2 linked regions of the Kluyveromyces lactis genome follow. The protein of the gene in region 1 interacts with the protein of each later gene in a pairwise test. Links are inferred from orthologs where the notes say so. Each region holds a gene or a part of one and is shown in the gene's direction. Other genes may lie near its edges. The genes, in order: SNF2 and HMT1.

Region 1 (4,343 bases):
TAACTAAGTCCTGTTTTAGAACCGTTCCTGGTGGTCGCAAAAGAAAAAAAAAAAAAAAAAAAAGAGAGAGAGAAAGAGAAGCACAACTTAATTTCACCTCGACATCTTATGATATGGTAATTAGGAAAAAAAAGTACTACTGTCGGATTGATAGAGAATAGAACAGAATTGATTACTTAACTAACCAGTTTTGATCCCGTCTAATTCCGCAATCAAATACGGTCATGTATCTTGTCAACGTAAAAAAAAAAAATTGGAATTAGCTTTTGCCAAATGAGTGGGGCAAATAACCTCGTACACATACATAGAACATGAGATTAACACAGAGAAAGGCAGCTTTTCTTTTCAAAGACCATTCTCTAATTTCCAATTTCCCCTTCCTTCTCTTCCATTTCCTATCTGGTACAGCTACATAACATATAACGTAACATAGCAAAAACCCCCCTACCGATGTGTTCAGTTCCGAGAGAGACGGAGAATGAGTATTTAATCTACTCTACTAGTCACACTACTGCCTGCACTAGTGAACGATCAGAAATCAAAAGCCTAGTTGCACAGGGCAACAAATGATGTAGAAATAGAACAGAGAAGTGATAGAATCGGTGGAAAGAAAGAATAAGCAGAAATAAAAAAAAGAGGTATCCACACGTTACTTCCTATGCATCTAAGGCCCGGCACAGAATCAGCATAGCAGCAAGTCATACTTAGTCTTACCTCAGTCTCTAATTCACTCTCTGTGCCTTTCTTGTTTCACTTAATTTCTCACAAGACGAATGGGATGGGGGGGGGGGGGGTCTGTCACTATATCCATTCAATCCATATCAGATTCCACTGTACACTTGCATGTACTGCGCACATCCCTAAAATGTATATCCATATCTATGTATCTTATATACACACATGCAGCACGTCATCTTGTATATTCCGCAGCTATTGTCCAGTTCCATCCCGACATACTCTTAACGCCTCAAACGTATGTCTTAAACTTGCCTTAAAGTGTGCTTTAAACCCATGTTTTAAGCCCCAGTGCCAGTCAAAATTCACACAGAAAGCATGATTACAAAAGCGAATAATTTACACAAAAAAAAAATTTTTTTTTGTGTTACGCTGTAAAACATAAACAAAATAACTTTAGTAAACGGAAACGGAGAAGGGAAATAAACACAGAAAACAACAGAACCGTTGTGCATACAGGCTTTGCGTGTGTTTAAGGTAACTTCCTTCGGTTGGTATTTTACTTTTCGGATAGTCTGCAGTGCCATATCGTCGGCGGCTAAGCAGTACTTTTTCTGTTTTTTGTTTATCCTTTAGCTTCGGCTTGAATTAAGAATTGCTTTGCTCTCTTTGCTAGTGACAAGCGTTTTTATTACTGGTAATAGTATTAGTATTAGTGTTGCGATAGGCCTGTTTTGGCAATGGATTTAGAGTTCAGTCCTCCCAGGAGGGAATATACGCGTGAAGAGATTAATCGTTGCTACCTGCGGTGGCAGCAGCTTCGTAACGAACATGGTGCGAATGTCGAGTCTATGAAGGAGTACCAGTACTATACGGCTGTGTTGAGGATGGCTGCCAGACAACAGCAGCAGCGACAACAACAACAACAACAACAACAGCAGCAGCAGCAATTGCAGAATGCAACAACAGCAGCAGCAGCTAGTTCGGCTTCGCCGAATAACATACCGACTCCGTCTGCTTATACCCCTGGCAGTAATGGTATGGGCCCTGTAGCAGCAACAGCGGTACCACCACCACATATGTCACCACAGGTAGGACCTCAGCCGATCGCGCCGGCTTCTGGTCTAACAGTAGGAGTGAATACGCCAGCTAGCACCAATTCTAATTCTAATTCTAATTCTAATAATAATAATAATAATAATAACGCGTCATCATCACGGTCTTTGTTCACAGATGAACAGTCGCTCTTGTTGAAGGCACAGATCCAATCTCTTAAGATGATGGCTAACCACATGGTCGTACCACCAGAGATTATGATGGTCATTGATCGGTCTTTGACCAATTTACTGGATTTCAAATCCATTCTACTGGCGTTGAGTGCCGATTTACAAGCTCATAATGCTGGCCAGCAGATGCAACCTCCAGTACAACAACAACAACAACAACAACAACAACAGAATAATGTACCGCAGCAGAAGCTTTCGCCTCAGGTACGCCAAGGCGTGAAGAAACCAGTACAGAAGGTTCGTCAACCCAAAAAGGGTAAGGTGGAATCACCAGTAGCAGCAGCTTCGCAACCACTTGTACAAAATAACATGCCTGCTCAACTGGTAAATACCACGGCAAATATAAACCCAGCTTCTCCTATAGTGACGTCAGAACCCACTCCTATGGCAGTTCAGTCCCCAATGGTGGAACCTTCGCGCCCTATTTCTCCTCCTATTCCGGACCAGGACCCCCCAAAACAAGAACCTCCCGCTCTTTTATCCACATACAAGAAGCAACATGAAGATATAGAAAAGTACATCGACGTAGCTTCACCGCATATTATGGTGGATTGTTTCTCGTACCCAGAACAAGGCGGCATTCCAGGCTCCACACCGTTGGTACCACCAATTAGTTATACGGATCTTCTTAACCAACAAAATCTTTCTATCACCCCCAGTCTGTTACCCGTTGGTCTGGATCCAAGGTCTGCTATGGAAACTTACCAAACTCTCATCGCTTTGGATTTAGATACATCACTGGATTTTTGTTTGCAACAACTATTAGAATCAGATTCTCAAGTAAAGGATAAAGGGGAATTGATTATGGACTATAATGCAATGCAGTTACTTCCTTTACAAAAAGCTATTAGAGGTTATGTATTGTCATTTGAATGGTATCAAAGCACACTTCTCACTAATATTCATCCTAACTTTTTATCCAAAAATCGTGGTTTAAACATTCAAGATGCTTTGTTGACTAGAGAATTGTTTAAATCACGAGAATTACAACAGTACGAAAAACAACAACTTGAAAAATCTTCTAAATTGAATTCAATCTTGGACCGTTGTAAATCGATACATGATTTGAGAATAGATAAAAAAGCTCAGCGTGTTAAGTTAGGTCACAGGTTGATAAACTTACACACGAACTTGGAAAAAGAAGAATTGAAAAGAATTGAAAGAAATGCCAAACAACGTTTGCAAGCATTGAAAGCTAACGATGAAGAAGCATATATTAAGTTGTTGGATCAGACAAAGGACACAAGAATTACGCATTTGTTGAAACAGACTAACACTTTCTTGGATTCTTTAACCAAAGCTGTTAAGGATCAACAGTCTTTCACTAAAGATAAGATCGAATCTCACCTTGACACTCAGGAACTTAGCGAAGACAACGTGGGTGATAAAAACGGAGCAGACTCTGATGATGACTTGGAACGTGAGAGAATCGATTATTATGAAGTTGCTCATAGTATCAAGGAAGAAGTGAAACAACAACCATCCATCCTTGTAGGTGGTACTTTGAAAGAATATCAATTGAAAGGTCTACAGTGGATGGTGTCTCTTTTCAATAACCACTTGAACGGTATCTTAGCAGACGAAATGGGTCTAGGTAAAACTATTCAAACAATTTCTCTTTTAACCTACTTGTACGAAGCTAAGGGGGTCCATGGTCCATTTTTAGTTATTGTTCCGTTATCCACTTTGACCAACTGGAATGCAGAGTTTGATAAATGGGCACCTAAGTTGCGGAAGATAGCTTTCAAGGGTCCTCCAATGGAACGTAAACCTAAACAAGCGTTAATCAAAAATCGTGAATTTGATGTAGTGTTAACAACCTTCGAATATATTATCAAAGAGCGTCCATTACTTTCTAAGATAAAATGGGTTCACACAATTATTGATGAGGGTCACAGAATGAAGAACGCTCAATCTAAGCTTTCTTTAACTTTGAACACATATTATCATTCTGATTATCGTTTGATTTTGACTGGTACCCCTTTACAGAATAATTTGCCAGAACTATGGGCCCTTTTAAACTTCGTTTTGCCAAAAATTTTCAATTCTGTGAAATCTTTCGATGAATGGTTCAATACACCGTTTGCAAACACTGGTGGTCAAGACAAGATAGCATTGAGCGAAGAAGAAACTTTATTGGTCATTAGAAGATTACATAAGGTACTCAGACCTTTCTTGCTTCGTCGTTTAAAGAAAGATGTTGAAAAAGATCTTCCTGATAAAGTAGAAAAGGTTTTGAAATGTAAGATGAGTGCATTACAACACAAATTATACCAACAGATGTTGAAGCATCGTAGGCTATTCATTTTTGATGATTCAAGTAACCAGAAGTTCTCTAGTTCTCGTGGGTTTAACAATCAAATCATGCAACTCAGGAAGATT
Region 2 (3,061 bases), about 120 kb from region 1:
ATAAACTCTCGTCTTCATTTATCAGAACCTCCCAATGGGCTTTGTTGGTTTGCTTCCCCTTGTTTTCTTTGTTGTAATTTGTTCGCGTCTAAACAGTATCGTTTCACGTTAAAGTCCTTAAATTTTACGTGTTTTCCTCAAAGCGATTTCAATCTAGAGAAGAGAAAAGCTATGAACAACTTTTACAGAGATAACACAGAGGGAAAAGAACGTGCTAAAAGACCTGGAACTGGATTCAAGTCATTGGTTTTGATTATCATTGCCATAGTACCGAAAATGTACGGAGATCTCGCTAACAAGTTGATACTAGAAGCAAAGAGAACGCAACAGTTATCTCAAGCTGGATTCAACAAACAGCAATTACCAGTATATCAAGACGAGCTAGTCCGTGGCATCCTGAAAGAGGTTGGATCCCTCAAGAAGAACGTGGATTACCTACGAGAACAGCAGCTTACTGATCAGGATAACAAAGTCGCTCAATGCCAGTACGTCGTTGCTATGCTTTCGATGGAAAGAAACAAAAGATGTCTATTAGCATACCAAAAGATGAGAAGTGAGATGCTAGACTCAATGGTTTGGGATAACAACGGGATGGAATTTTCTTCTGCCATATCAAACCACCCGAATCTATCATCGTTTGATTCCTCTGTTTTATCACATGCAGAACAAGAGTATCTCAAAGAGTATGCACAACTACTTACCGAATTGAAATCGGGAGAACTCTCAGAAATCGATTTGACTGGGATGTTACAACCGCCGAGCGATGTGTTCATCGACGTACGAGTATTGAAAGATGCAGGACAAATAGAAACAGAGTACGGTGTATTCAACCTGATTAAAGATTCCCAATTTTTCGTCAGACAATCCGACGTCGAAAGACTTATACAACAAGGATATCTGCAGAAGATATAGCAAGGCAGCTTTTTTCGCCGAATTCTGCACCTTTCATTGCAATTCTGTAGATATCATTGCTGGTGATATTGCTGATGCAACCGTTCCAAATGCAACTAACTAGCTTTACCTCACTTTCACTATGGGGAATGCACGATTTCTTTTTGGATTTCTTTTTCTTGCAGCTCATCGCCTTCAAAAATTTTTCAGTTTTGTATTTAAGGCAACGAGGCATAAGTAACAGAACAGTACTTGATCTGGAACCAACTTGTTAGAACGGTTATTGGTTTGATTGCATTGAGTATAGTGTACAGCTTATTGGGATATAATATTTGTCACCATACATATACCAAGACTTGTGTTTCATCTTTAGTCTAATTGTTGAGCATATCTTTCCTAATTGTAAAGCTAATAAAATAAAGGATGTCCAAGACTGATGTCACTGATTCTGCTACGCAGAAAAAAGAATTGAACGAGTATGAACAACACTATTTCACCTCTTATGACCATTTCGGTATTCATGAAGAGATGTTGCAAGATACTGTGCGTACGCTTTCGTACCGTAACGCTATAGCCCAAAATAAGGACTTCTTTAAAGGTAAGGTTGTCCTAGATGTTGGATGCGGTACTGGTATTCTATCTATGTTTGCTGCAAAGAACGGTGCTAAGCATGTCATTGGTGTTGATATGTCTAGTATTATTGAAATGGCTAAGCAAATTGTTGAATTGAATGGTCTTTCAGACAAGATCACTTTGTTACGTGGTAAATTGGAAGACGTTGTGTTGCCTTATAAGAAGGTTGATATCATTATTTCCGAATGGATGGGTTACTTCTTATTATACGAATCCATGTTGGATACCGTGTTGTATGCACGTGATAACTACTTGGTCGAAGGTGGGTTGATCTTCCCTGACAAGTGTTCCATTCACATTGCTGGTCTTGAAGATTCTAAGTATAAGGGCGAAAAGCTGAACTTTTGGCAAGACGTTTATGGGTTCGATTACTCACCATTTATCCCATTGGTGAAAAGAGAACCTTTGGTCGATACAGTGGAAAACAGTTCTGTTAATACTACCAAATGTAAATTAATCGAATTTGATCTTAATACAGTGACTATCCCAGATTTGGCATTCCACAGCAAGTTTAAATTGCAGGCAAAGAGACAAGATTTCATTAATGGGTTGATTTCATGGTTCGATATTGAATTCCCAGCACCAAAGGGTAACAAACCTGTCACTTTCTCCACTGGTGCCCATGCTACATACACCCATTGGAAACAAACCGTCTTCTATTTGGAAGACGATTTGGAATGTGAAGCTAATGATATCCTAGAAGGTGAATTGACCTGTTTACCAAACAAAGATAACAACAGAGATTTGGATATCAAGATCGTGTACAATTTCAAGGCCTCTGGTCCAGACGGTAAAGAAAGGTCAAGAAAGGGTACCAACACTTACTTGATGCATTAAAATAGTAGCTATGTTGTTTTTCTTACTCAGTCCATTATTTGGGGCCCTTTTTACGTAAACTATTCGTTTACTATTCCCATTGAGGCTCAGATCACCTTCAGATTATGTTTATTACTTGGTTAATTCTGAAGGAATGCAGCTCTTTCAACCTTTCAATGCCTTCGATTCCATTGTGAACTTCACTATTATCATTAACATTAAGAAACAAAGATAAAATAAAAAGGAAATGAAAGCCCCTCTCGCAATTCCAAGCAGTTTGTAACAGTACTTAGCAACCACACCCAATTATTTCCTGCTTAGGCTTCAAGATTATATAATTCTCTATGTATTATATTTTGCAAATTTGATAAGCATTATAGACAAATGTTCACTCCGCCTCTTGCAATAAGAAAAAGACAACGCTCGCTAAAACAATGAATGATTTGAGAGACGCTACATAGAGATATATACGTAGAAACTAATTTTAGTCTATAAGCAGAGCTCAAGCTCTCTCACAACAAGATTGTTTTGGGATTGGGAAGAAGTAGCAATTGAATACAAAAAAATATATTTCAGACTAGTGAAGTAGAAAGAAACGTACTATTTTGTTTAATCGTGCTTCAAGGTTTCCAAAGCAGTAGCAGATGGCTTGATCTTGTTAGCTTGGTCGACCTTCTTGGAACCCAACTTTTCGGCGGCGAAGACCTTAGCGTATGGGTTC

The links.
Region 2: the proteins of SNF2 (region 1) and HMT1 interact in binary tests that used the Saccharomyces cerevisiae proteins (3 or more experiments, as listed by UniProt). The link is inferred for Kluyveromyces lactis from reciprocal best matches to the Saccharomyces cerevisiae genes SNF2 and HMT1.

Annotation. Positions count from the first base shown.
Region 1 is NC_006038.1:740,790-745,132, forward strand, and holds the start of SNF2 (SWI/SNF catalytic subunit SNF2), read left to right. Parts: upstream 1-1,415; coding exon 1,416-4,343. UniProt on the Saccharomyces cerevisiae protein: Involved in transcriptional activation. Catalytic component of the SWI/SNF complex, an ATP-dependent chromatin-remodeling complex, which is required for the positive and negative regulation of gene expression of a large number of genes.
Region 2 is NC_006038.1:617,054-620,114, forward strand, and holds HMT1 (protein-arginine omega-N methyltransferase HMT1), read left to right. Parts: upstream 1-1,314; coding exon 1,315-2,361; downstream 2,362-3,061. Other genes in the region: RAD61 (Rad61p), read right to left, coding at 1-18; DNA replication protein PSF1, read left to right, coding at 277-912; KLLA0_B07139g (60S ribosomal protein uL4), read right to left, coding at 2,950-3,061. UniProt on the Saccharomyces cerevisiae protein: S-adenosyl-L-methionine-dependent protein-arginine N-methyltransferase that catalyzes both the mono- and asymmetric (type I) dimethylation of the guanidino nitrogens of arginine residues in a variety of RNA-binding proteins such as heterogeneous nuclear ribonucleoproteins (hnRNPs) and small nuclear ribonucleoproteins (snRNPs).